Linked DNA regions of Alligator mississippiensis. The protein of the gene in region 1 interacts with the protein of each later gene in a pairwise test. Links are inferred from orthologs where the notes say so. Each region holds a gene or a part of one and is shown on either strand. Other genes may lie near its edges.

What was found.
Region 2: the proteins of KIFC3 (region 1) and DEUP1 interact in binary tests that used the Homo sapiens proteins (3 or more experiments, as listed by UniProt). The two-hybrid records come from large-scale screens. The link is inferred for Alligator mississippiensis from reciprocal best matches to the Homo sapiens genes KIFC3 and DEUP1.

What each region holds. Positions count from the first base shown.
Region 1 is NC_081833.1:38,414,474-38,424,471, forward strand, and holds the start of KIFC3 (kinesin-like protein KIFC3), read right to left. Parts: upstream 4,082-9,998; 5' UTR 3,966-4,081; intron 2,595-3,965; 5' UTR 2,477-2,594; intron 2,398-2,476; exon of another isoform or gene 2,077-2,397; intron 1-2,076. UniProt on the Homo sapiens protein: Minus-end microtubule-dependent motor protein. Involved in apically targeted transport. Required for zonula adherens maintenance.
Region 2 is NC_081824.1:448,091,854-448,102,059, forward strand, and holds the start of DEUP1 (deuterosome assembly protein 1), read left to right. Parts: upstream 1-5,416; 5' UTR 5,417-5,467; coding exon of another isoform or gene 5,468-5,478; intron 5,479-10,206. UniProt on the Homo sapiens protein: Key structural component of the deuterosome, a structure that promotes de novo centriole amplification in multiciliated cells.

The DNA of each region.
Region 1 (9,998 bases):
CTTTCTTCTTAGCATGTTGTTTAGAAAATGTAAAGTACTATTCAAGAAGTAAGCATTATTGAAATGTTTGCTATGCTAATGAGAGACCTGAGTCCTCTAGGGCAAGTAAAATCTGTTAGCAAATCCATACATGTTATGGGAATTAAAACTGTAGCTTCTACAATCTGTCCTTGTATCTTTATGTAGAAACCTGTAAAGAATCCAAGACTGATTTATACAAACTCTCAATCCACAAGCCTGGGAGACACTTGAACTTTTCTATTCAGGCAAAACCTCATACAAAGAGACTGGCAGTCAGGACTCCTGTGTTCTCCTCCTATTTTTGCCATTTGCCTGCCATGTGACTTCACTATCAAAGATCTTACCCAAAATAAGTTGTCTGACCTGATCTGTATCACAGAAACCTGTCTGATTAAGAGTGCAGGTACAGAAGTGCTGGCTTACCTCATCTTCCCACACCTTACCTCATACCACATGCTCTGTTCACCACAGAACCAGAACCAGACAGGACAATCTAGAAGCAAAATCACTGTTCTGTTCACTGTTAGCCCAAATTAAGAGAAAAGCTCCCTTGGGGGTGGGGAAGGAAGAAGGATCATCTAACAGCTCTCTCAATGCTCAGCTGGGATGATCCCAAGGAAGGCTGAAATGATGCTGGTAAGACGGAAGCACCTTAAAGAACCTGTCTTGTCAGCATCATCCCCAGTCCTCACAAGCATCTATTATCCCAAAACTGTAAGGTGATGCTTTGGGGTATTGCTCAGTAGTACTGGATACATGAATCATTAAATTTGCAAAAGACACCTCCAAGTGGACAAGAGATTATAGTCCATGCTAAGGGTTGGTCATGGCGAACTACTCGCCAGTGACGTCTGGGCTTGATTATAAATCATTCCAACTAAAAATGCAGCCCAAGGCCCTGAAAAAGCTTTAGCTGCTACAAAATCATAGCAACTCTCTGCTTAAGTAACACAAATCATCATGACCTCAACTTTATCGCCATAAAGTGGCACAAGCTACCCAAGAGAATACTTCTCCCTCTGTGACCATCACTATCTATGACAGCTATTTCGCATTCAGACAATTAATACACCAGCCAGCAGAGGAAAACTTGTAAGTGAGAGGAACAAAACCTGCACTTCGGAACCAGTTTCTGGAAAATAAATAAATAAAACGTTCAGAACTAAATGCAAAACTCTCTCTTTGATTTAGATTTTCCTTGATCAGTTCATCTCCATCATGAATACACAACCCCCTACCATCAATTAATCAAAGTAATTTATTTTGTAATTGGGAAAGTAACAGAGAGAGACTCTTGTTACAGTTTTGGTTTTTAAATACTGTAATTGAAAAGCACTCAAGAGACTAAAGGTGACAAAAGCTGTAAGGGCAGAGACAGATGGATAATTTCTGCTAAATCACTTCATCTCTCACTATGTTTCTTTAACTGTCTGTATATAGGAACAATGATATTTCATACAGTGAAAAAGAACTAATGTTTTCAAAAGAACTTGTGGATCGTAGGATGACTAGTGATGTGTATATGCAAATAGTATGCCTTATTATTTCAGCACCAAGCAGGACATAGCCAGATTTTAATCACACACAACATCCACTCTCCACCTTTCTGTTCCTCAATACCCACCATCCTGTCCACCTAATACCAAAGGAATGCAGAAAGGTCAGTGAGGAAATGAGAAAAAATGCATTTTCAACCCCTCCACCCCCGCAACTGCCCTGCCTCTCAAACATATTTTTATGGTCGGCAAGAGTTAAAACAACCTTTCTATATCAAAGCAGGTACAACTGTCAGATAAGCTACTGCCAAAGCTTAAGAACTTAAAATATCAGAGCAAACAGTAAGTTTCCCATCAAAAATATCTCTTCCAGAAGCCTGGCATTAGCATTTAGCCCCACAGTGACCCTGAAGTCCGAGACTAGCATGAGACAACAGCGCTAGCTGTGTGGAACCCCAGACAAGCAGCGGCAGGTTTCAACAAGCAGCTTTCAGTTCTTTCAGCTGCTTTTTGAAAACATTTCAGTCCCTGTGGAACACCACACAAAAACTAAACTTACCTATTTGGTTTATATGCGGTTGGGAGACAACACACCCTTCCAAGGAGCCGAGATGAAGGACGACCAGAAGCCACGTGTTTTTTTGTTGTACAAATCACAGATAATCATTTCTTTCACGTGTTAAAATTTAACTTTTCTCCCAAGGCTTCTCATTAGAAGAGAGGGCAGCACCCTCAGCACAGCAGCACCTTTATCAGCTGAATCCTGTTGTTACCTAACAGCCTACATTTGTATGGGAATCAGTTTCCCCAAATCTTAGTTTCATCTCTGACATCTGAAAAACAATGTCAGAAATGTGGACTCACTGGTTTTCAAGTCTCTCCTTGCCAGAGTGTGAGAAAGGGCAGGAGCAGGAGTGGGCCGGGCATGGAAGGAGGATGAGCCATTGCATGATACTCACCGTCTAGAGGGAGGTCCTTTTTCCACAGGTCTCTCTCTGAGAGATTGAGTCTCCAATCCCAGGTCTCGCAAGATGTAATCATGGCATAGGGTTCCCAAGCAGACCGGCACCTCAGGGCCTGGGAATCAGTGCAAAGAAAGGTTTGGGGTCAGTACTGGATCAAATACCAGCTGAAGAAAGGTAACAGTCCAAGGTGAAATACTCCAGCAGGTTATGCAAACAGCAGTGCCGCAAACTCAACCCTAACCCCAAACCATCTTGCAACTATCCAGATTTAATGCTAGGGATTTATTACAAGAAATACTGAAAAACAGATTTTACACACACTGTGCTCATCATTCACCCAGTAATTCCTCTCTTATTTCCAGCTTCTTTCACTACTAAAATTTGGTTTAATAACTTCTTAGATCATGAGTTATTCAGGGCAGAGATCATCCACTGCCCCTGGGTTGGGGAGGGAGCGTGTTCCTATGACAAGATGAACCAGCAGCCTTCCTACGAATCTGCGCATCACCAAGCACAAGGACCAAGAAACAAACATCAGGCTTTTACCAGCTCTGCTCTCTACCACACTATGCTGTGATCCTGGCAGAGGCCTTCAAGAGTTATCACAATACAAATAAATCAACTGAAAATATGCAGTTGTAATTCAGAGAGAGCATCTTGCACTGGTTTCCTCTTCAGCAGAATACCCTCTAATTTACATGCTTGCAATTTAAATCTCATTTGATGCTGGTGATCTGACTTGGTGCTGGCCTTATGTGTCTTTAATCAGAGCATTATCAGGCCAGGCTACAGAACGAACACTACAGAGGTTGGAAGAAGGCAGGGGAGTCAGCGAGAGAGAAGTCTTATCCACGAAGAGGTGCAGCTGCCCTTAGATGCTCAGACCTCTTTAGCCCCCAGTCTCGCTCAGCCGGGGAAGGACTGCTTCACCCACTGCACAGCCCTTTTTAAATTCTCTGGTTGATGATGAAGGACTGGCAGGGTTTACTCGTATCCGGCCTCAGTGGGATGGCTCAGGATCAATGCACACTGCCAGCATGCCCACCTGTGTCCTGTGCAGCTTGCCCACTGGGTCCCCTGTGGAGAAAGCACCCGGGAACCAGCCCTGGACACCTAGTGCCCCCAGCCCCTGCCTGGAGGCTTTGTTCTGCCTCTAAACCCAAACGCTGGGTGGAAGGAGGGACCCGGCCCTGAAGATGAACCCGCCAAACAGAACAGCTACAGAAACAGGCCTGGGGCTTGGCAAGGGGGGGGCGGCATGAAGGGCATCAGATGAAAGAAGGGGTCACCGCAGCCCTGCGCTCTGCTCCAGGCCTCCCAAACTAGCGGAGACCAAGCCAGGCTGGCGGGTACCTAGGCACTGCCACACCTCCCGGGCAGGGGCAGCGCAGTGGCTATGAGGAGAACTGTCCGGGCGGGGAACGCCCCTGCTACCGCCCCGCCCCGTCCCGTCCCGCACCGCACCGCACCGCACCGCACCGACCTGTGCCCGCGGGGCCGGGCCGGAGAGCAGGGCGGCGGCCGCGATCCCGCCGCCGCGGCTGGGGCGGGAGGCGGCGGCTGATGCCGCGCGGGTCGCCCGGCCGTAGCCGCCCCCTTCTCCCGCTGTCAGCGCCGCGCCGAGCCGGGCGGGGCGGGGCGGGACGGCTCCCCCCACGGACACTTTTCCACAGGAAACGACTGACTCCAGTCGCTGCCGGTTGCTATGGCGACCCGCTTCTCGCAGCGCAGCCACCGCTCGGCCGCACCGCACCGCACCGCACCGCACCCCCGGGCGGACTGGGCCGGGCCGGGCCGGGCCGGGGCCACTGCCGGTCCCGTGTCCCTGGGCGTTGGCGGCCACCGCGGCACGCGCCCTCCTGCCTCCGCTGTGCTGTGCCCCGGCCGCAGCCGCACGTGCTGAGAGGCTCTAATAATGCACCAGTGTTACTTGAAAGACCCCCCGCGCAATACCCTCGCCCGCGGGTGCCCCGAGACCCCTTCAGAGGCGCCCCGCGCTGCGAGGGGGGCAAAGGCGAGGCACAAGGGGAACACAGAGGTCTCAAAAAGGAAGCCACGCTCAGTGCTAAAAAACAAAAGCCCAGCGCTAGGGCCCTTGGGTCTGCAGCGGAAACATGGCTGCCTTCAGCCTTGCTCTTCCCTAGCCGAAGACCGAGTGAAAACTGAAGAGCGGCCTCCCGGAGGCAGCTTCGAGCTCCTTCTGTTCCTGCAGCTCGACACCCAAGGCAGAGAGCTGTTACTAAATGCTTTACCTCTCAAAGAAAGATTGTCTGTGGGAGTATCCTTATTGTTTTTTTATTATTTTAAAATACTCCTTGTCATCAGCTCAGAGGACCCCCACAGGTCCCTGCCAACCCTATGCGTCTGGGGGTCTAGGAGGGTGCTGCACTGGTGCAGTTGCAACTCCCCCCCCTCCCTTGATTCCTGCTAAACCCAGAGTTTAAAACCAGCTGCCTGGCAGTGGCAGCAGCATTTCTAGTCGCCTGGTGCTGAGGGAGCCAGTTGACTTCCTGGCTCATTATCTACCTGATCCCTTCTCAGCCCAGTGTTAACCACCCTCTCTTTTTAATTGTCTTGATGTTCCACCCATCAAGCCATCCTTTTATTCCCTTGTCTGTTAGCTGCTCCATATAAGGAAGCCCCTTTTCCACAGCACTGCAGATGGTTCTGGGCTCCTTCCAATGAAGTTGTGTGTTTTTTGTTCATTCTTAAACTAAATAACATAGCCCTAGGGGCCTTCAGCATATTAGTAGAGCTTCCTGTATATTTTTACCTGGAAGAAAATGTGTGTTGTTTTATATGTTATGGTGAATGTCACCATCTCTGCCTCGCTTTCCAAAATTCTAGATCTGCCCATGGGTTCTATGGTTCCAGTGTGCGGCAGCCAGGGTAGGCTACTCTGCATTTGATTATCATTTTGCTTTATACAGGTAGCCAGAAAACCCCATTGCCTGTCACTAAGTGCCTCTCTGATGCACATTCCAAAAGTCAAATCTGCTGAAGTCAACAGCTCCCAGCAAAACTCAACCTGCAGAGCTCCCGCGAAACTATGTATTTCCCCACAAGTCTTATTCCTTTCACTCTCTTTATTCCCCAAGAGAGCAAAAAACCAACAAAACAAACAGGTATGCCTTACTCCCTGTCAACTGTTTTACTTACTCAGGATAGCCATGCATGGTAGGGTGGGTATTTGACGGATCAAATAAAGTTCAGTCAACTGACCAGTCAAATATCAGTCAAAAATTGTAAAAAAAATTGCTAATAGGTCCAAATAACACACAGAAATGCACAAATTTTCCATTAAGAAATGTGTAAAAAAAGATCCAATTGTAAAAAATCATATTTCTGTCAAAAAAGCTACAAAAGTGTGGGGGGGGGATGTAAAATTGCTATAATCTTTGATGGGTCAAAAATATGTAGTCAGTTGACTGGTCAGTTGACAATGTTTAATCAGTCAAATGACCATCTTGCCAACCCTAGTCCAAGCATCTGAATTTTTCACAATCTCAAATTAGTAAGTAAAACAGATGAGGGATTTTTAACACAGTATACTTTTTACTTGACAATGACCCAATACATTGCAATACTTTGCACATCGATGGCACCTTAGATCTGAGAATCTCAAGGCATTTTGCCAACCTTAAGCAAGACCAAATACCTATTTTATAGATTCAGATGGGGAAGCAAATGCAAAAGAAAGGGGAATAGTGATGCATGTGTCATCACATGTTTATAGCAGAGTTGAAAGTAAAATCCAAAGAGCCTATTCCCAGTCCTATACTTTAACCACATACTAGTCCTTCCCTTTTCCACAAATTGCAGGAGTAATAAATTACTAGTTCTACATTTGCTTGTAGAGGGGCAAAAAGTGACTTTAAAATAACATTCATGTAGTTTCTTCCTACAATTACAACATAAGTAATGCATTGCAGGTGGCTTAGAAAAAAATCCCTGGAACTAGTAATTTACTAAAGGCAGGTCTACTTTTAGCTAACTTTGCCAGTATAACTATCCTGCTTTGCTGGGATAGTATATCTGACACAGCTTATACTCATAGGCAATGTGTAGGGGGAACACGAGGAAGCATATGCAACCCCTAAGATTGGCCCTCACTGACTGGGGAGTGGGGGCGCCAAGAAACGCACCAGCTGGTGTCCCCCCCAAGATTGGGAGATTGGTGCCAGCCGGGGAGTTGGGGCACTGAGAAAAGTGCCAGCAACACTTCCAGTTTTGCCACCAGTGATCAGCTTGCTGGTGCCCCTACCAAACTCAGGAGGCACCAGTCACCCATGTGCAAAACCATGCTTTTTGATGGCTTAGTTTATAGCTCCTTACCCTTCCAGAAAGAGAAATAAGCTGTTGGTAAAATCCAGTTTTACCAGTATAACTGCATCTACACTTGCCCTTGTAGTGTGGCAATTTGGTCACAAATCAGATCTCATCAGACTCCTGACCAACATAGCAAAAGTTTATAGCATAAATCTGACCTTAGAGCAGGGGTGGGCAATTATTTTGGACAGAGGGCCTCTTACTGAGTTTTAGCAAGCCATCGCGGGCCACATGACAGGCAACCCAGGGCAGATAAATATTAATTTTCTAAATTTTTTAGGGGCCCTGTGGGCCGGATAGAATGGCTTGGTGGGCTGCATCCAGCCCTCGGGCCGCATTTTGCCCACCCCTGCCTTAGAGGAATGTGGTTCCCACCCTTCCTCTTCTCCCTTTTAACTTTTGCTGTTGAGAAGTACAATGGACACCAGTGGAAAAGGCACTGAGGAAAACGAAGAGAGAAAAGACATATAGCCATGTGCCCTGAAAGGGCAAAGAGAACATTTGTTCTTTTTTTGAACAACCAGGATAGATTTTCTCTCTGCTGCAGGGCAGAGCCAAGCTTACTTTTAGTTCCCTTGCTCAGTGGCTGCAAGAGCCAATGCAGCTCCTTGTATAGGGCAGCCCTGTATCATGTCCCTGCTGCATTGACCCCAGGGGAGTTTACAATAAAAGAGAACTGCTGCAATGTAGGTAATTCTTACTCCTGCCTTCCAGCCTCCTTCCTGCTTCTAGTCTACCACTCAACACTGTCCCTCACCTTCTAGGACTTTGGCATAGGACTGTGCAGAGCTGAGAAAGCTGGCTCCGTGCCTGGAGTCAGGAGCTCCTGTACCAGGCAAATTCCCTATGGGATCCACACACCTGCCCTGCAGCTGCTTTCAGTCAGCCATGATGAATCCAGCCTCAAAACCATACCCATCAGCAGAGCTGACCCAAGCAAGGTGCAGGGCCTGGGGCAAATCAGGCCATGTGGGGCCCTGCTCCCGCTCCGATCCCATGAGCCCCAGGCCCAAAGACACTGCCGGCATCAGCAGTTCAGGGTGGGGGATAGCGAGCAGGTGGGTGGGGAGCTGCCGCTCTGCCCAGCTCTGCAGGGCCCCCCAAAGCACAGGTCCTGGGGTGGTTGCCCTGATTTGCCCCCCCGAGACAGCCCTGCCCATCAGCATACAGTTGACCTGGTTCTCCTGTGCCTCATCATTGCTGTCTTTACCAGAATCAGCATGGTTCAAGTTAAGTCAGAGTCCCCCAGCATCCCAGTATTTTGCAGCCCTGGGCTGGGCTTGGCTGTCTGCTTCAGAGAGCAGGGTTTGCCCTGCCCCCTGCTCCCTAGCTGGAGCAGTGAGGGCTGGCTCACTGGCCCCTGAAGGTAAACCCCTGGGGGCAGGGAGGGGAGTTAAACTTCCCTTCTGCCGAGTACAGAGCTGCCCTGCCCTTCTTACTGTTGGCTGTAACTGGACTACAAATCCCAGAGACACCTGGAAGAGGAAGTGATAAGCAACCCTGCAGAGTCCTGCTGCTGTGATTCTGGACTGCAAATCCCAGAGACCTCGGGGGCAGCAGGAAGAAGAAGTGAACACACAGCCCATGCTACCTATGTGCCAGAGAGCCATGCTGTAGCACCCCCTGGCTTCTGACTTGAGCCACTGCAGACATGTGGCTGCATTTCCTGAATCAAAAGTGAATGTCTGTTCATTTGTTTATTGGTTCTATCTTTGCAGTTTAGACTACCCTGCAAAGACTGAATCAATTCAGCCTCAGGCTTTTTGACTGTCTGTACTTAGCCAAAGTGACTGAATGAGGTTCAGTGCTTTTTGGGGCTTTGTGCTGCCTCAGCAGTAACCCAGCTCCTTCTCACACTAACCATCTTGGCAGCAGGAGCAAAGGAAAAGGCAAGGCTTATTTGCCAACTTGAGGCAAACAACTGTGAGGCTGTATGTGCATTTGATTTTTCCACCCAGATATGGTACTGTGCTTTCCTTTGAAATGCTCCTCTCTCAACTAGACATAAAACATTTCTCAAAGCATATTTTATAACCACTTGCATTTTAAGGGTTTGGCTAGCAATGATGGTGATTTGAATCTAGGCACTCGATGCTATTCACTGGGAGGGAGTGGAGAAAGGCAGGACCCACTGGACAAAAACATGTTTCTCTTCTCCTGTACTCAAAATGAAAGGAATGCAGACGAAGAGCCACGTGGCTGAATGCAACCAAGTACTTGGTAATTAAAAGATTTGGTCGGGGATTATCCTGTGAGAAGCAGGCAGGGTGTAAAAATAAATTTCATCTTTTCCTTTGTCCTTCTCCAGTCTCTTCCCTTCTCTACAATGTGAGCAGAGGCTAAGTGTGGCCAACTCTCATGATTTTTATTCTTTTAATCTAAAGCCCCAGCTTCTGGAGAAAAGTGATGCCCTAAGATATAAGTAGAGAAGGACAAATCTTAGATTTAAGAAGGTTATTTCTAGCCCTCATGGTTGAAGAAATGCATGAAAACATAACTTAAAGGTGATAATTTCAGAAAGCAAAGTACCTTCTTTTTTTTTTTTTTTTTTTGAAAGAATCTCATGATTTAAAAGGCTGGATCACAATATTTCAGTTCTTAGAGTTGACTAGCAATAGCTGGCATCTCCCACAGCAGTGTAAATGAACACCTCACCATACTAGCATCCCAAATACTGCCATCATTTTTACAGTTCACTTCAACTTCAAACTTGAAATACATACATTTTGTGGAAACATACCACTAAAGGTCATAACCCAGCTGATCCTAGCCAAAGTTCCAGCTCTCCAGCCTATGGCAAATATACAAAGGTGCTACTCAAAACTGACCACATGATTGCCATCTCCTTACAACTCCATTAGGTGTCTCCAACTGGGAATTGTTAGGATAGCAGCTTTCCCTGCCATTAGAAGGGCTTTGCCATTAAAACTAAGGACTAAAAGACCAGTTATTTTAATTCCATTACTGGTTCTGTTGCTGATTTTCTATTTGACTTGCCCAGTCACTTTCCTGTTTGATCAAATTTTTTCTTGCTTTAATCAGAAGAATAATGGTCACAAGAGTGGTGACACATTACATTCATTAAGGGCAGACATTCTTTGGCTGAAGCCCTGTTGGGAAACATTAAGGGGTTTATAGGGATTGCATTGGCCCTCTGCACCAGACTGATTTACTTCCTAATAACTGA
Region 2 (10,206 bases), on another chromosome or scaffold:
CTCGATGATCTATTGAGGTCTCTTCCGACCCTAGCATCTATGAAACCTATGAAGCACCCTCGTGCCCCAGCCAGCTGGGGCAGCATCTAAACATTCAGTGCTGTGGCATAAAAAAACTCTGCAGAACGATAGTACTTGTATTTACAAGTACTACCCTGCTGCAGAATTTATTAGTTTCCTCCAGAGTCATAGGACCACACATTTAGAAGCCAAGAGGTTTACTGCAGAGCTAATTAGTCTACTCAACAGTAAACACTTCATGTAGATGCACTCAACATGTATCAATTCTAGATGAAGTACATGCATGGTTATTATATACAAATTATCATAGTCATGTTTAAAGTCAAGGTTATTGTTTCCAAGTTTGTTCCTCACTTCCACGAGCTCAGGGAGAGTGTGGTTTGACAGTAAAGAGGGGCAAGGGGCTGCTAGGGGAAACAGTTGGGGGGAAGCAGAGAGAAAAGGGAGTACCTCACCCTCCAGATTTCTTTTCCCGTCACCCTCCAGATTTCTTTTCCCTGCTGTTGCAGTGGAAGGGGGACAAATTCAAGGCAAACTTCCAATAATTAGATTCTATAACTAAACAATTATAACTATTTTATATATTTTACATCTATAGAATCTATTTTGGGGGGGAGGGGGGCGTTGTCTTATAATCTTCTATTTGACTAAATAAGGTTTTATGCCAGTTTCTACTAGCGGAAATATAATTAACGATTTGCCCAAGATTACATATGAAGTCTGTGTCAGAGCTCCGGACTGAGCCCAGATCTCCCAAAATTTACAAAAACATCCTCTTCCTCTATAAAATGTAATAAAGTGTATTTCTATTTAGACTCTAGCCTATATAGGGTGTCCTCTTTCCAGAAACGGCTACTGATATTTCTAGACCCTAAACACTAAGAAGAGAAAGGAATTTATTAGAGATGAACCAGGGAGTTCTCCTAAGACTAACAAGATGGAACTGAGATAAGGAAAGTGCTGCAGGAAAAACACAAAAATATCTTTTTTTAAGTGAGATCCATTTGTCAAAAAATCTCTCAAGGACAGCCCCACTATTTTGGTCATTAAAATTGAGACTGGACACAAAAATCATTACAAGCATATAATGGCCCTGGGGTATGAATCAAATGTTTTTTTGTAATGCTATGACCGTGTGAGGAAAAACTATTTTTCAGTCCATATATTTTTCCATTGTGTTCCCAGTTCAAATTACTGGGGATAGGGGAACCTGAAAATATTGCCTTAATATATCCGCAGCTCTAGGTATTTTCTGGTAAAAGTGAAACTCTAACATCATCTTACATTTATGCAGCAGCTTTCATACCAAAGTATCCCCAAACATTTTATAAACAGTATAGAGCAAAATCAATTCACTCAGCCACTGAAATGTAGATACCTCTGAGGCAAAGCTCAGGTGATTATGTAGTTTTTAATGTCTATCATTTAAATATGTTTAAAATTCTTATTCAAAAACACACCTAAAGGGAAAAGTAAATGGAACTTCTTTAGGGATAGGATTAGGGATGCAGAATTGTGGAAAACAACTTCAAACACGTCTGCAACACCACATACCGCATGTTCAGCTGTTCTCTGCATTGCAAGGGAGCAGGTGGGGATGGGGGTGACCCCTTGATATCCAGGGGTCAAAAAAATCCTACGCCATAGAAAAGCAGAATGGTGCATGCAGGGGCAGTGCACACCACTGAAAACCAGAGCCTGGCTGGCCGAAGCCACACTCTAGCTACTGGCCAGGCTCTGAGCAGCAGGATCATCACTACTGCAGCCCCAGGAGCCCCCAGAATCCCAGGTAAGGCTGTTGGGGCAGCCCAGTGCTGGCCCCAGTCTCCCCTATCCCACCCAGGGCAACCTGCCATGCACCAGAGGGCATGTGGCACAGGCATTCCCTGTGGACAACTAGCAGTGGCACAAGGTACACTGCTGCTAATTGTCCCCAGGGAACCAAACATCCACATTCGTGTGAACACGGCCTATTTGCTTAAAATTAAAATATAAGATTTAGTCCTAGGAATGGGCAAACAGTTGGAATAGTGTAACATGGATTAGTGATGAGTGTGCTATATTCATGGTGGCAAAACAGCCGTAAAAATAATAGTAGTATTGATAATAGAAAGTAATAAAGTAATAGAATGACAAGAGAACCGACCTCATAAGAATATAAGAGCATAAGAAGTGCCATACTAAATTAGACCAACAGTTCATCTAGCCCAGTGGTTCTCAACCTGCTTAGGCTCAAGGCACCCCTAAATATACTTAAGGCATCCCTCATTAGGCTCAAGGCACTATTCAGAAATGTCAACTCTTAGTTGTCATTCATGTTTGACTGCAGAAAAATAACAGCATGATTCTTTTGTTGCAAAGAATGCAGAAGGACTACAACCGTTTTTAACACTATGTATTCCTATTTGAAATCTCTATGGGGGTATCTACACATGTACTTGACTGTGAAGTTCACTAATTAGCTCTGCAGTGAAGCATCACCGTCTACACATTCAATGCTATTAGGCCACAGTAAATTAATTACCTCTGCTGTCGGATAGTACTGCCTGGCATAAGTACTACCTTATGGCGGAGTTATTTAGTGCACTGAAAAGCACATGTAGATGCTTTGTTGTTTTCTGATTTCTCTAAATGTACCAATACCCTCCCACTCTGTCCCAGGTTAGGGTTAGAGTACTTTGAGTATAAACCAGGATGACCCAGGAGGTACAGATGAATTCAAGCACTTGCAATTATTCCTTTTGAGATTCTGTGACCAGTTGGTTACAATGATCAGACTAGTTTGATTTCCCAAAACAAGTACCACCTCTCCTGAGAGAGCACTCCTTTTTAAACCAGCCAGGGCTTTTTTGATCTCCTGTAATCTTGGGCCTTTTTCTGTCCTGGTATTACCTCTTAAAATCTTTAGCAGTCTGCTAAGTGCAGGAAAAGCCTGACTGGGCAGCCGGGGCAACTCAAGGAACCTAAGGGCTCAAGCCAAGGGTAGGGGAAAGCTGAGGAGGAGTTTTACTCAAGCACTACCCATTCCACCCCCTTCCCTGCCAGCAGCGCACAACTGGCCACTGGTTGAGTGGCTGAGTGCAGTGGTGTGCACGTGCCCAGGTGCCCAGCTGTCATACTAGCCAGAGGTGCCAGCCACCCAATAAGCCAGTTGGGACAGCAAGTGAGGCCAGCATGAATCCCCCAAGCTAGCATAACAGCTTGGGGATACTAGGGAGGTAGCAGCTGGGCAGCGGGCACGCAAGCAAGTAGCAGGACCTCATTATTTAATTAACCTCCCTTATTCTCATCTGGTGCCTATGAGAAAACCCTGACTGTAGGCAGCTGCTGGGGCTCAGGGAACCAGAGGGCTCAAGCGAAGTGGGGAAGAAGCCAGTGGGGGCATCACTTAGGCAGCACCAATTCCCTTTCTTCCCCACCAGCAGTGCACACCTGGTCACTGGCTGAGAATGCTTGTCCACCTGCCTAGCTCCCATGCTGTCCAGAGGAGCCAGCCAGCTGCTGGGGCTGGGGACAGTGGGACAGTGAGCGAGGCCAGCATGAATCCCACCTCCACGCCAGCAGGACAGCCAAGGGAGTTTGCAGCAAAAAGACAAGAAGCCATTGTTTAATTAATAGTGTTCCGCATTCTCAGTTTTTACCAATTTTTCACTAATAAATTTCCTGATTTTTTTAAAGCCATTTGGTTGTTACTAATTGCACCCGTTTTTCAGTTCAAATGGCCCATTCCCCACTTGTGCCAGTTAACAGGGATTTGAACTGAAAAATGGGTGGTGCTGGTGAACTAAAAGTGCCGCTGTGCCAGTTACCCGAGACACAGGTTTCTGGCTGGACGTAGGGGTGGGGTGACAGTGGCTGCACGGGAGTTGGGGGAGGGTGGCTGGAGCCGCTGCCTAACAAGAAATCTGACCAACCATTGTGTTTAATTTTCAGGTTTTGTTTTTTTTTTATATTATTTTTTCATGAAAAACATGGTTAGAGAGAAGGTTAGTGAACTTAGGACTACCTGCAAGAGAAGGTTGAGAGGCGACCTTGTGGCTGCCTATAAATTCATCACGGGGGCACAGAAGGGAATTGGTGAGGTTTTATTCACCAAGGCGCCCCCGGGGGTTACAAGAAATAATGGCCACAAGCTAGCAGAGAGCAGATTTAGACTGGACATTAGGAAGAACTTCTTCACAGTTCGAGTGGCCAGGGTCTGGAACGGGCTCCCAAGGGAGGTGGTGATCTCCCCTACCCTGGGGGTCTTCAAGAGCAGGTTGGATATGCATCTAGCTGGGGTCATCTAGACCCAGCACTCTTTCCTGCCTGTGCAGGGGGTCAGACTCGATGATCTATTGAGGTCCCTTCTGACCCTAACATCTATGAATCTATACCTGCCTATGCACAATCAGTAGAAATCAAGAAAATCCCTTACAATGGACAGAAAATGTAAGATATTCAGATATTCAAGTGCAAATAAACCTGTTTTAAGAATGAAAATACATGGAATTCAGAAAGTGCTTTTCCTTCACATAAAAGCCATACTATATTAAATCAAAGCCCATGAAAATAAGTACCATCTAAGTACCGTAAGTTATTTGCATAGCAATGTGAAAACCGTTTCAGGTTATTTTGCACCAGCGCAGTTACTTGTTTAGAAGAAAAATGGTAATTACATTGTAGCCTGCCTTCTGCCTATTGTATTATCTACCGATAACAGCGCTTCCACATACAGCTTTGCGTCTCCGCTTCCCCTCATCGTGCTCATCAAACCAAAAGGAAACGTTTTTCCCTGGGTGAATTACACCGGGCTCAACGAGACAAAATTCACCTCAGGCTGGGCCCGGCTAGCACGGCTCATCCTAGCTGTGGGCCAGAGTCATGGCTGTAACCTCCCGCCGCACGGAAACGGTACCGCTCCTACACGCTGGCTCTGTCTGCGCAGATTTCAAGCCGCACCAAGGTATCACAACGGTACAAATTAAGCCTCCTTTATTGGGACGCAAAGTTTTGACTGTGTTTTCACGGTGTTGCCCTGGTCTCACACAGTCTTTTCCATGTCCCCTTGCACCCGGGCGTGCCGCTTCCCCGGAGGGCCAGCTCTTCACACCACCCAGGGCCCACTTCAGCCTCCACCATGCAACCCAGCCAGAGCCCGAGCTGGCATATTTGCAAGACAACACACTTGCCCCTTTACTGCCCAGTCTCCAGCCAAGCCTACTCTCCTCACCCCGCCTCCAGACAGAGAGCCCCAGACCTGGTGCACTCACAGCCTATAACCCCTCACCCCAACGCTGCCACGACCCCCTCTCCATGTCCTCCTCGCTGCCCCTCCCGCGCCCCGCCCCCAGCGCCGAGGCCCCGCCCCCGTCCCGCCGACGCTCCCGCGGCGTGTTCGCGTTGCCCCGGTAACGGCGGCGGGAGCCGGGGCCGGGAGCGCGGCGGGAAGCGCCCGGCGCGGAGGATGGAGGCCCGGTGAGCAGCTGTGGCGCGGGCCGGCTCCTGACAGGGCCCCGCAGCGCCCGGTGACCGCACGGAGCCGTGAGCCCCCTGGCAAGTTGCCCCGGGTGGGGTAGGGCAGGCTGGGCCAGCCCCAGCAGCCTTCCCTGGGTCCTGGGGGCCTCCCGGGGCGCTGGCTGGCCAGGCTCTGGTTTTGCCTGCGCTGTTGCACTTCTTTGTGGCATGTTTGTTTGTTTTTTTTAAGAGACTGGGATTTCCCAGTATCAGATATTGGTTCCTTGTCACCTGCGCCGCCTCGCCTGCCTTTTGCGGCACGTGCCCGCTGGTCCCCAGAAGAAGGACACAGGGGGCAGGTTTGTAACAGGGCAGGGAGCAGAGCTCTGCTCCTAGTCGGGTTATTTCTGTTTCACAGCCCTGTGCGCTGTTAGTTTTGGGGGTTTTTTTTAACTTTAGCTAAAAACATTAACTCAGGTGTGGAAATGTTAACTCGGGTGCGCGTTAGGTCAGGTGCAGAAGTCGCTGTCCGCGGAGCATCGGCGGCGCTCTGCGGGTGTTCCAGAAGGCATGATTTTGTTCTCTGAATCTGAAAAAGACACACGCATTTAACATGAGTGACTCCAGGATTAATGAAGCAGCATTTTTGGATTATTTTTTTCCTTGTTTGTTGTGTGTTTATATATGATATTGCCACATGCCAACAAATGCCATTATATATGATATGCCACATGCCATTATATATGATATAATCCACATGCCATCAAAGTTTTTTGTTTGTTTTTTGCTTCAGTTTCAAAGTGAATAACTAGCTGTAGTCCCCGCCTTATTAATGAAGCATCTTGCTTATCTTTATCTGTAGAGAAACATGTGTTCTGTTTTATATGATGCACCACAGCATCTGCACCCCTCTCCCCCTTTTTCAAAATCCTAGATCTGCCCCTGTAAGTGATAATTACTTTGCATGTGTGGCCAGTCTAAATTTATTGCGGAATTAACCAGTTAACTATATAATATATGTAGCATGTAGCAGGAGCCGGAGTGTGGCACGCAAGTCTACCTGCAATGTGTCGTAACGGTTGTTGTAGAGAGGAAGCAGTGGCTTGGTGTGTCTACACATGCATTTTAATGCGTATTAGCCTATTTTGATGCATATTTAAGTGTCACAAGAAGTGTGCTGTTGCTAATGCACATTAAGATAAGCTAATGCACCTTTTTCTAGTACTTCACAATGAAGATACTAAACTTAATGCGGATTAGCAAAAGTGCATTAATGAACATGTAGACATGCCCACTGTGAACCAGCTTAATAAAAGATTCATCTAATAAACTAGGGACTGTTCTCATAATTTTTTATTTATATATTTATTTATTATTTTTATTTTATGCATTTATTATTTACTTGTTTATAATATTTTTGGTATTTTCATTTCTTCATGTATTTAGTAAAAATAAGCATTTTTATTTACTTCCCTAATAAAAAAGGGAAAGTGGTGAGGGCTTTTGCTTATAACTTTTTTTTAATGTTTTTTTTTAAAAAGTTGTTGCTAAGCAACAAAAACATATGTTTAAATATCGAGTTATTTCCAAAACCTGTGCTCCTAAAAGCAAGGAAATTAATTGTTAAGGGTATAATCAGACATTGCTCACATAATTAACTCCTTGTTCATCCTGGGTGCTTTTATACATGTGCTTTACTGTGGAGTTGACTAATTAACTCTTCAGTAAAGTGTCCTGGTCCACATGTGCTCCTATATTTAGGGATCAGTAAATTAATTAGCTGCAGTAAGATAGTACTGTCTAGGGCAAGTACTACAGCGGAGTAATTTATGGTGTCTCAACACACATGTTGACAGTGACTGAGGCTGACTGGGGCATGAGAGTGCTAGTGTGAGGGCTGCACTAGTCCTACACTGTAGCACCCTTGTGCCCTAGTCAGCCCCTCCACTGCCCAACGCCAGTCTGGGGCTGCTGTACCTTGGCTCTAACTGCTGCAGTTCTGGGTGCACGTGTTTGCACTGTGCTTGGGAGCTGCTGACTGGTGTGAATTGTACCAGAATGTATTGCTCCATGTTAATTGCATGTGTGGATGCACCCACTGGGCATATCTACATGAGACATTTACTGCACAGTAGACTAATTAGCTGCATAGTAAATATCATGCTTCTACACATGCACTCCCATTAGGCTGGAGTAACTTAATTAACTCTGCAGCAGACTAGTACTTGTAAATACAAGTACTATCCTGCCATGGAGTTTTTTTACATGTAGACACTGCCCCGGTTGGCTGAGGCAAGAGGGCACTTCAGTGCAGGGGCTGCCCACTTGCTAGCATGATGTTGAAGCACCCTCTTTCCCCAGCTAGCCCCTCCACAGGACATTAAGCAAGGGGGAGCAGCCCTGAGCTGGCAGGCTGATCCCCCAAGCCCACTGCCAGCCAGGGCTGCTCTGACCTGGCTCAATGTGCTGCGGTTCCAAGTGCACATTTCAACAGTGCACCCAGAAGCAATAAAACTCCAGAGCAGTAAGCTCCGGAGTTTATGTATATACGTTAATTGCATGCATAGATGTGCCCGCTGAGTAGTAAAAATGCGCTTTTCCTCACAACTGAGCAGTCTTTTCTTTGATACAAAATAAATACCATTCTTCCACCAGAAGTCTCAAAATATTAATACAACAAAAAATATTTCTAAAAAAAAGAAATGGAAACATAGGTGAGATTATGAATTCAGTACAAGGGATAAACAATACCATACAAATCAATTACTTCTTAAAAGTGGTGGGATCTGGCCCTATATAGTGATCAAGTTCAAATACACTACCTAATATGTTTATAACTATATTGCAGTCTATCCTGTTCACTGGTACAAAGGAACACAAAGGGACATAAAGCATCTCTTTAGTCCCTTCCACCAGTGTCCCATAGTGTTTCTTCCTGCTTGCGGCGCAAAGCAGGGCCATCGCCCTTATCCTTAGTTGATGCCACACTGTATGGTGTAGTGATGCTGTTGCTGTATTATGCTGTAAAGCTGTAATAGAGCTGTTGTCGTGTGCTCTCTTCTTGGAGAAGTAGAAAAACCAAGGGGGTGATTTTGCATGTGAATAAATGAACTGTGTTATTTTAATAGGAGAAGGAAGCAATTTACTGCTTATTTGTTATCACTGATTTGTCTGCTTCTATCCTGGAAATGAAATCACAGCACCTTACCTCCAAGTTAAACAGGGTTAAATCATTTCAGTTTAGCTACACTTTCTGAGGGATGGGAAAATACTGATGAAACAATTGCAGTGGATCAACAGAGGCATGTTCATGAGTGATTAAGACCCTCCCTACTCTACCTCAGCATAATTGTTCATCACTCCATGGCTCCAGACCCTGACCTTTTCCAGGCTGGTCTTATTATGGGCTAGCAGGCAAACTGATGATCTTCCATAATCTATAAATCAACAGTATAACACACATAATTATTCTCAACATATAGTAATTCTAAGTAAATTGTAAAATATTCTGTCTATATATATGACTGAGATTTTCCATTTAACACTGTTAAAATTATACAAAAATCAATATAACACATTAAGACAGTTATTTAAAATTGCAGGTCAGAAAATTGTTTTACTGTTCTGAAACGGGCATTTCTTTATACTTCATAAAAGTAATGCATTTATTTAATAGAAAATTATATGTAATATATTACATCTTAATAAAATGTATTACCATATTTACTTGAATATAAGACAAGGGTTTTTCCCAGTCAGCATAGCAAAGCCCTTCCACTTATAGTCATAAACAAGAAAACATCATTAAATATATTGCTTATCATTAAACTTTTGCCAGAAGCAATGTGTGCTCAGTAGTTGAAACCAACTATGAAGCTGGCTGAATACAACCGATAGAGAGCATGCCTATAAAACACATGACCCAAACATGCTGATAAATAAATAAATAAAAGGTGTTCATCTACAAATTTTATTTAAAAAACCCATTTATCACCCTACACTTGCATAGTGTCACATATCACAAAAACAACTACATATTGAAAACATACAACTACATATATTAAACCCTTAAACAACATACAGCAACTTCCCACAAAAAAACTCTTACAAAACTTCTTTTCTCCATACAGAACCCCATGAAAAACGATTACCTCAGTAACTACCTGAAACTCTTTGCCCTCCTACCAGTCCTCTCTATTGGTTCAGTGAAACAAGTATGTCCAGTCCTTTTTTCTCCATTTCTTCCCTGCCTCTTCTTCTCCAATCATTTTGTTGTCCTGATGGATGTAGTATTTCAGTTCATACAGCCCCAGCTTCAGGCACTCTGTTTCAGTGAAAGTCAATCCCTAAAAACTCCAAGGTTTCTTACTTCCCATAAACTAGTTTTAAAACATGCTAATAAAGTCCTTAATAATGTTTCCTCTGGTCCCTTTGGTATGAGTCCGTATAGTATCATCTCCTGCACTAACAAAAGGTTTATTTTGGTGACACTCAGAAAGTAGCAGTCCTTTTCCCACACTCCTTTTGCATATGTACACTCCCAAAACATGTCCCACATCCCCTGTTTTTAGGGGATGTTTTTAGGGGATGCTGGATAGGCATCTGGCTGGGGTCATCTGACCCCAGCACTATTTCCTGCCTAGGCAGGGGGTCGGACTTGATGATCTGTTGAGGTCCCTTCTGACCCTAGCATCTATGAATCCCACTGTAGCACCATTTCCCCAGCTCAGCCCCCTAGCAGCTGTGCAG